Daphnia pulex: one gene and its partner. The protein of the gene in region 1 interacts with the protein of each later gene in a pairwise test. Links are inferred from orthologs where the notes say so. Each region holds a gene or a part of one and is shown in the gene's direction. Other genes may lie near its edges.

Region 1 (4,532 bases):
TACTGTCCGGACACTTTTGCCTCGGACAAAAACCTACCCTTCCCCTTATTTTAAAATTCAAAAAAAAAAAATTGGTTGTTCCTGACATCCGAGAGAACCTACGAAAAAATTTTCATTCAAATCGAATGAAAATTTGACCACTTTTTCGCCTTGCGAAAACAGCGGTTTTCCCATAAGGTTCTCTCGGGTGTCCGGACACTTTAGGTGCCCACTGTACATTGAAGGGAATCTGATTGTTATCATGTTGTTATTCATTAAATTTGCTCGTGGTTAGAATTAACAATATTTAAAAAAAATCGTCCACCCCGATATATTTAGGACAACTTCGCCATCTTACAATATAAGATTTACTTATTTTAATATATTTTTTGCTGTCTTAATTACTGCTTGCAAAATATTTCATTGGTACAGCAATTACACACCAAATGTATATTTGTTTATTTGCAATGCAAACCTGTCTAATATCTTTAAAATTAAATGAAAAATTTTAGTATTATTTTGAATTATTTTAACTTTTAACAGAAACAGCAGGAGAAAATGATAGCACTATTTAATTTATTACCCAAAGAGATAAAAAGAGAAAAACTGGAGAAGGTGCTTTGGCCTTTTCATTTAATGAGGCTTTTTTTTACTTGAACAGATAGAAAGAAATTAAGGTGTATTTTTCACAAAGGTTGTTCATTTACAACAAAGATTCATACTTTTGTAAATGGAAAGTGTGATGAGGCTACCTCTTCTTGAAACCATACTTTTTTCTTTCATAGAACAAATCTGTTTTAGCACTACCTAAATTAACAATCTTTGGACACCCATCTCTCTGAAAAGAACAAAGATATGTAATAGATCAAATACGTTAAGCTTTCAATATAACTTCAATCTTAAGAACTAAAATGAAAAAGCATCACTTGGACTACACACTTACATCTTTTTCCTGAATTGTACATTCTTTACAATAGTATGCATCGCTGACACCTGGTCCTCCACAGATAACACACCGTCCTTGGTATGATCCATAGTTACATTCATCACAGATTCGTACTAATGTACATGGTCTTACGTACGAATCACAGATAACACATTTTCCGTCACATTTCTCACACAGCCGGCCAATAGCTAAATGTTCAAAATCAGACATTAATAATAGATAGCATGAAAAGAATAGAATTTCATGTTCAAATACCAACTCCTGGTTGTTTCCGACAAAATATCAAATCTGGGTGATGCTTTGCCATAGTTGAGTTTTCAAATTTGTCGATCAATTATATTTGATTAAAAGCGGGATACCCAACGTGAACTGTAAAAACGCCAAGCTGCTTGGCTGCTTGCCTTGAAAACCTGTAAACATTCAGCAACTCAATGCCAGCCCACAGCCGGCAATTTTCTAGTTTCTGATTTCTGGTTTTTCAAGGAACGACGGTATAGAAACGCCATCTATTAGTGAAATGCGGAAGCTACAGAAGCATGACGGCGTTGTCTGCAAACAAAAACTGGGGAAGGTGCTTTGGCCTTTTCATTTAGATGTCACGAGGTTTTTTTTACTGTTGCGTATGTTGCGTATCAACAAAAATTATAACGTCAATAATTTAAATATTCTACAAGTTTGCGGAATTTTACTCTAACGTCAAAACATCCACTAATAATTTTCAGGTCTTAATTTTTGATCTGTTCACTTACTGGGAGTTGTCACGTGCAATTTTCTAAAAATGCCTGATAACGTAACTGCACGCGACTTAACCATTCAGCAATCTGAAATACCTCAGCATCATGCGTATATTTACAAATTCCGCGTCGAACAGTGCCCTTTATTTTTACAACACAAGTGTACACAACATAGACCATTCACCTGCTTTCACTGGCATTTTCAAAATCAAAGAAGGCGCAAACCTGTACGCAGAAGGGATGGTACTTTGAATTACAGTGCTGATGAGTATTGCACAAAGTATGATGAAACTACAGGTATTCTAAAAAAACTTTGTATCTTTTTGCTTTCAAAATTTACAATAAAAATGGAACATTGTCATTTTAAAATATGCATTTCTGCTCTACTTGACTGTTAACTTTTTAGGTAATAAAACCTTATATCTTCATAGGTATTTGCCAAGATGGTGATGAGTGTCCTTTCCTTCATCGTACTGCTGGTGACACAGAGAGAAGATATCACTTGAGGTACTTCAAAACTGCTCCATGTGTTCATGAAACTGACACAAGAGGATTCTGTGTAAAAAATGGAGTTCATTGTGCATTTGCTCATGGGAATTCTGATTTACGTAATCCAGTGTATGACATCAGAGATATAAGGGTAATGCAAATCATTAAATTTGTTTCCTACATTTAAAAATTCAGCTTTGATTATCACAGGCTAAAGAAACTGCTGAGGCAGATATGAGTGGACCTAATGCCCTTGATAAAGAAAGAAGTCTTCTGAATGATGATCCCAAATGGCAGGACACAAACTATGTTTTAACCAATTATAAAACAGAGCAATGCAAAAAACCGCCACGTCTATGTCGACAAGGCTATGCCTGTCCTCAGTATCACAACAGCCGAGACCGCAGAAGGAGTCCTAAAAAATTTAAATACCGGTATGTATTACTTATATATTTTAAGTAATATAACCTTGTGTTTTGTAAGCAATTTTCAAAAAAAAAATAATATTATTATTTTTTTTTATTTTTTTCATTCCTGTTTAGTTCTACACCCTGTCCTAACGCCAAGCATGGAGAAGAATGGGGTGATCCTTCTGGGTGTGACAACGGAGATATGTGTCAGTATTGCCACACCCGAACTGAGCAGCAATTTCATCCAGAGATATACAAATCCACTAAATGTCATGACATGCAGACGAATAGTTATTGTCCTAGAGGATCATTTTGTGCTTTTGCTCACGGAGATTTTGAAGTGGTAAGAGATAATGGTCAATACCAGGTAATGGAGTATTTATAATCTTTTGCCAAAACTTACTATTTTTTCTGTTAAGGATGGTGGAAACAATTTGGCTGAACTTTTGTCCAGTGCATTGCCTGCTGTAAATAACCGAACTTACGGAAAAGAAAATACCAATTTGAATGACTTGAATGACGGACGTAGTATCGATCTACTTCTAGATAATTCTCCTAGAAGCATTTTGGATACCCATTCTACTTCGTCATCCGCCACAGGTTTTACTACTTTTCCTAGCATTTCATGTCAAATATTTAGAGTTATTTCTCCTCACAGCAAGCACTAGCGTTCCTATGCAAACAGCTTACAGCCGATTACAAAGTCTTGAAACTGGCGAATCAATTTTAGCTTCTAGTGGTCCAACGGCAGTTGGGACCACCATAGGTGGCTTTGGCCCACTAGTACACCCAATATGTAAACCCAGATCACTGTCGGTGCCAGGGGCCGACATGAACTCATCAGGAATCGATCGAATGATAAGTTTGGATCGAGATGAATGGGATCCCATTACAAATCCCGATCAATTCGATACTCTTTCAAAGAAATCTAATCTATACGGTACGGGAACGTTGGGTGGTCTATTGTCACATCTTCAACCAGCCGCGTATTTTCCGACTGCGGCTAGGTAACGTTATTACTTATTACTATTCATCCCACCTTAATTAATTTGTGAGCAAGGCCCTAACAATTATTATGTATAGATTAAGCAATTCAACAAATGCTCCAGATTGCGTTATTGGACATGCAATGGATGAAAATGAAGAGCAGTTTAAGGATAGTAGTCGAGAATATGAATCCGAACAACCTTCATTGTGTGAATCAATAACGATGGGTGTAGGATTGCTGACGGGGTCTGCTCCGGTTAATATTCCACGAAGTGGACTTGATCGCCACCCTCCTCGCTTGTCACCTTCACCACCGGCTGTTAATCTGTTCTCAGGAATACGAGTTGGCGCTCACGAAATACCATTGGAAGGATCAAACAATTCGACTTCTCTTTTCTTTAAAAGGGTAATTGACTTGCCAATGAAGAATTTCTTGCTTAGCTAACACTTGTTGAAGGTTGGAAGTTATAGTAACACCGGTGCACCATTTATTGACTGGGGGAATCACCAAACTAGTCCAAGTAACAACAGTTGTAGAGGATTGACAGGCTCCGGTGCTAACCACTCACCATTACTAAGCAGTGTGGCTTCGATGAGTGGATCGCTTGGAAATCATGACGTACGGAATAACGATTATTAACTAATTTTACTAACTGAGTAATACCAAGTAACAAAATGATTCAAAATTACAGAGGTTGCGAGATGATGCGGCAAATCACCAAGCAAAAGTGCTCTCCTTAGAAGAGGATTTGTCGCAAGCCAGGAATGCTTGCGATGCTTGGAGATGCAAAGCGATAGTTGCCGAGCAACAGCGTGATGAGGTATGTTTACAGCAAAGGCTTTGTTTATGATAATCTTGGGTGCTTTTTAATTAGCAACGTCCAGTGATAGTACTGTTTCCTTCCTAGGCTGTGGCAAGGGTAACTGCTCTTCAAAATGAAATGAGGATACTGCGTGACTCCATTTCTGTCCACTCACATCGAAACA
Region 2 (4,473 bases), on another chromosome or scaffold:
GAAATAAATTATGGAAACAAACTATCTAAATGACAAGCTCCTGTTATGATATCACTTAGGGTGTTATGTAAATTGTCTGGCAACTTGTCATCTTCAAGACAAAATTTTCTGAAATAGAAGTATGCCTGAAAAAAAAAAAATGAAATAACTCTAAAACAATCATGTCAAATAAAGTATGGTAACAAACTATCTAAATTCTAAATGACAAGCTCCTGCTATGACATCACTTAAGGTGACTTGTAAATCGACTGGCAACTTTTGTCATCTTCAAGACAAATCTTTCTGAAACTGACATGCGTCTGATGATGTATGTAATCTGCAAATAATTTTGTGGTTTAGTTTTCATCATACAGAAAGATTAATGAATAATCAATACAACCTGTCAATTCTATTTTCCACAGCTGCAGCTTTCTTTTTTCTTCGTTACAAAATTTCAACCATTAAATCATGCATGCCTTTTAAATGAGGGAAATTTGTTTTGCATCCAAATAAAGTCTGGTATGCAATGATATCACTTAAGGTGACATGTAAACAGTAAATCAATTTCCAACTTGTCATCTTAACGATAAAATTTTCTGAAATGGAGGTATGTCTGATGATAAATGTAATCTGCAAATAATTTTGTTGATTAGTGTTCATCACACAGAAAGATAAGCGAAAAAAATGAACACATACTCTCAATTCCCTTTTTTTGAACGTTTTCCAGTTGATTCAGCACCTACATGTGAACCATCTGCCAATGTGGTTCAGATTTGATAGGTAAAGGAACCATCAGTTGTGACACAATAGGCATGTTTTTCTTTCCTTATTATAATGCTGCAATAGTTAAAATTTGAAATATAAACATAGTGCTTCACAAGATGAAATCAATCACAAACATTCAAACGATCAAATTAAAATACCCACAGTAGGCCATGCCACATTCCACAAGCAGACTGGCTGTTGCAAATTAACGTCGTCTGCTAGTCAGCACACAATCAACTGAAAGTCAATCTGTGTGTCTTTTTCTTGGTCAAATATCTCGCGAACCACAAATAACGTAATGCAAATTTAGTCTTTTCCGTTAAATGATAGGTTCATCTTTCAATTAGAGGTGGTTGCATCCTCTAATTTTAGAAGACATTTTTTTCCTATATTTTAGAAGTTTCCCCTTTTTTTCCCCTTTTTGCTCCCAATCTCTCGTTAATTTCGTTAATACTTAAAAAATTTAGTCATTACCTGTGTTAAAAGTCATTCTACATCGAATGGGATTAGTCGCGTCGCGATCGGAGCAGCACGAACGTGTCACGGTCCCGAAAACCACTTCGACCAATCACGAATTGCCCCAATTCCCCAGGGACCTCTCACAGTTAAGACTATTTGGAGCGCTGTCGGAACTTTTGTTTCTTCAAATCTCTCACCCTTAAAAGGCGGTAAGCCTTCGGCTTTTTAAAATAAGAATTTTAAAAATCTCTCAGGGATAATATTAATAATGCCGTAATAAAAGAATAGAACGTCTGGACATGCTGAAACTTTTGTTTCTTTTCGCCATTTCCTGTCGGTTCCCATTTTCTTTGTGTCGTGACAACACGTTTTTCAGCATCTCAAATTTAATTTTAAATTAAAAAATCGTCAAATAAATTCAATAGAATTTAGACATTCAAATTCATCGAAATTTCTCGAGAGAAATAAAAAGAATTATTTAAAAAATAGGTTGTCGGAGAATTCCGCCAGACGGCGTGGCGAGAAGGACAAGTTATACTATGATGGCGAACGTGATGAGTCGCATGTTCTTCAGTCTCTGTCGGTCGGCTGTCGAGTCAACAACGCCACACGCCACAGACACTGGAAACAATTTAATATCCCCCCCTCTTCCACCTTTTTTCTTTTGAAAAAATTTTGTTTTTGTTGGTGATCATGCGCAGATCACTGACAATCATCGTGTTGTTAATGTTGAATTAGTTACAATTGTTGAATATCTTTTGAAAAAGTATCTTGGAAGAAAAAATGCCCAACAACATTCAAAATGGAGAATGTTGCACACCGGCCGGCTGCATGACGATCGTCGACGGAATAACATCATCTGAAGGCAGCAGTAATGAAGATGGTGGTGAAATTGTTAAGGTGTTGTGTAACAACGAGCATTGCCCGACCAGCGGCCTGATGCATCGCCAGTGCTTCGATCAGTGGGAGGCCTCGGTCCTGCACTATTTGCGTAGTTGCGGCCGCGCCCGTAGTTGGTCCGAGCGTCAACGAAGTCAAAATCTGTGGACCAAAAAAGGATACGATTTGGCCTTCAAGGTAAAATTTAATTTCATTTCAAATTAAATTGAAACTGTATAGTTGATTGTGTTTGGTGTGTTAGGCCTGCGGGTGTCTGTGCGGACGTGGCCATTTGCGCAAAGATTGCGAATGGCAGCCCAAGAAACCGTTGGAAGTAGCAGCAGCTGTTGTTGGCGAAAATGAGCAAAAGAATAAACAACAACGGCGTAAATCGGCAACAACAATAGTTAAGGTCGGCCCACAGCAACAGCAACAAGCCGTTAATGTTAAACCCAGTAGTAGTAGTGCAGCCCAAATGATGATGAACAATCAAATTCGTCACCGGGCCAATAGTCTGTCGTCTACCGGATCGACGACTTCATCTTCCGGCTCCAGTTCACCACCTGAAGCCGTCAACTCTTCATCTTCTTCTTCAGCCGGAGCCTCTTCCGCTCCCGTCTTTGTTCTCAGCAATAACAAGAATAAACGAACTTCCAACGATCGGGAAAGGTAAAATTCTTAATTTCACGTTTTATTAAATGAATATGAATTAAATATTTTGGACACATTTTGTTATCAGGCGAGGATCGGGAAACAGTGGCCTGTTTGTCCATCGGGCCAACTTTAGTTCATTCAATGCGTTACCACGCCACAAGCTCAACTCTTATCACATTAAAGTAAGTCCCCTACTACTCTAGGTCGTAATAGGCAGGAGGAGTGGTTCTTCTCTTTGTGTATCAAGGTCATATGTGTGTTGAGGGGGGAAAGCAGATAACCGGCTGCACGTGGAGACGGTCGCCATGGCAACGTTACCTGCTTCCCATCTTTCGGCTGGAAAAATATTTCAGAAATTTTTCCATCTTTTATTTTCGCGTTTACTCAAAAGGTTATCGCCTATGGGCAAAGTTCGAAATTGATACCAAGTGAATGAACTGGGATTTTAATAAATATAAATAGTTAAATGATAAGAACAAACTGCTGAATCAACATTTACTATGTTGATTTTTTAAAAAAGATGGAAGACGAAAAATAGTAAAGAATTCAATTATTTATCATTAAATAGATGCAAATTAAATAGGTGCAACATTTCTAATTTAAAATGTTGGTTTTTATTTTATTTAAAAAAATAACAGATGGAAGACGAGGGCAGCTACGGGAATGATGACATTCGTTGTTTCATTTTGTCTAATTTGGCCACGGCGAAAATGTCCAAGACATTTTGCGTCGTCTGCCAGAACGCCATGCAAATCTACGACAGGTATCCGCTCATTGACGGCACCTTCTTCCTGGCTCCAAAGCAGTACTCCAAGGCCTGCATTCCCGTAAGAATATTACGTCAATTTTTTTTTTACTTTTTGCAAATATTTATCGTCCTGGCTAGACATACACAGGTAGTGTTCAATGTGACCTTGAAAAAAACTGGATATCGATCTGAACGATAGTAGTCGGCACGTGTAGTAATGGCGCGGATTTGGTTTGTTGCGTAGCCCAAGGTTTTTTTTTTCCGCCAATCCGCTTTGAACCAGTTTTCTCTCACGGACATTCAATTGACAATTTGGGGGTTTTAATTTTGATTTATTTTAATATATTTAAACAGGTGACTTCGGAAGGACGTCAACAATATTTGAGCGCCGTGTGCATGGTGAGTGGTGATTTCTAGCCATTTTGACTTAACGTTCAACCCGAGACACACACACGAAATATAATAATTCATACGATCTATTTGTCGGTGTGTTTTGCAGTCGTGTCTGGAGGGTTGGACGTGCACGTTGAGATGCCGGTCGTGCCGGACGCCGTGGAACGGCGGCTCGTTTATTCTCGGCACACTGTACTCTTACGACGTATTTGCTGGCACTCCGTGTTGTCCAGAACGCCTCAGGGTGAGTCCCTTTTTTAAAATTTAATTGCACTTGAGAAATTATTAATATCCGCCATTTTTAATTTAATTGTAATTAAATTAATTTTAATTCAGTTTTTTCATATTTATTTTAAAATCATTTTTAAATTTAATTGCACTTGAAAAATGTATTAAAAGCCACAATTTCTAATTTAATTGTAATTAAATTAATTTTGATTCAGTTTTGTTTCATGTTCAATTTTATTTTTTATTCTTCGATTAATTAAATTGTAATTACTCATTACATTATAATTATTTCGCAAATAATTTGTAATTGTATTAATTTTAATGATTTCCTTTGTTTGATTTTTCGCACCTCCAGTGTAATCAGTGCA

What was found.
Region 2: the proteins of RING finger protein unkempt-like (region 1) and headcase protein homolog interact in binary tests that used the Drosophila melanogaster proteins (3 or more experiments, as listed by UniProt). The link is inferred for Daphnia pulex from reciprocal best matches to the Drosophila melanogaster genes unk and heca.

Annotation. Positions count from the first base shown.
Region 1 is NC_060023.1:5,054,754-5,059,285, reverse strand, and holds the start of RING finger protein unkempt-like, read left to right. Parts: upstream 1-1,481; 5' UTR 1,482-1,703; coding exon 1,704-1,956; intron 1,957-2,090; coding exon 2,091-2,299; intron 2,300-2,358; coding exon 2,359-2,582; intron 2,583-2,690; coding exon 2,691-2,925; intron 2,926-2,977; coding exon 2,978-3,158; intron 3,159-3,216; coding exon 3,217-3,565; intron 3,566-3,641; coding exon 3,642-3,951; intron 3,952-4,002; coding exon 4,003-4,164; intron 4,165-4,237; coding exon 4,238-4,366; intron 4,367-4,453; coding exon 4,454-4,532. Other genes in the region: PHD finger-like domain-containing protein 5A, read right to left, coding at 728-817, 923-1,113, 1,181-1,232. UniProt on the Drosophila melanogaster protein: Essential for late larval/early pupal development.
Region 2 is NC_060028.1:336,564-341,036, reverse strand, and holds the start of headcase protein homolog, read left to right. Parts: upstream 1-1,457; 5' UTR 1,458-1,986; coding exon 1,987-2,280; intron 2,281-2,344; coding exon 2,345-2,751; intron 2,752-2,821; coding exon 2,822-2,918; intron 2,919-3,374; coding exon 3,375-3,563; intron 3,564-3,838; coding exon 3,839-3,883; intron 3,884-3,983; coding exon 3,984-4,121; intron 4,122-4,460; coding exon 4,461-4,473. UniProt on the Drosophila melanogaster protein: Required for imaginal cell differentiation, may be involved in hormonal responsiveness during metamorphosis. Involved in an inhibitory signaling mechanism to determine the number of cells that will form unicellular sprouts in the trachea.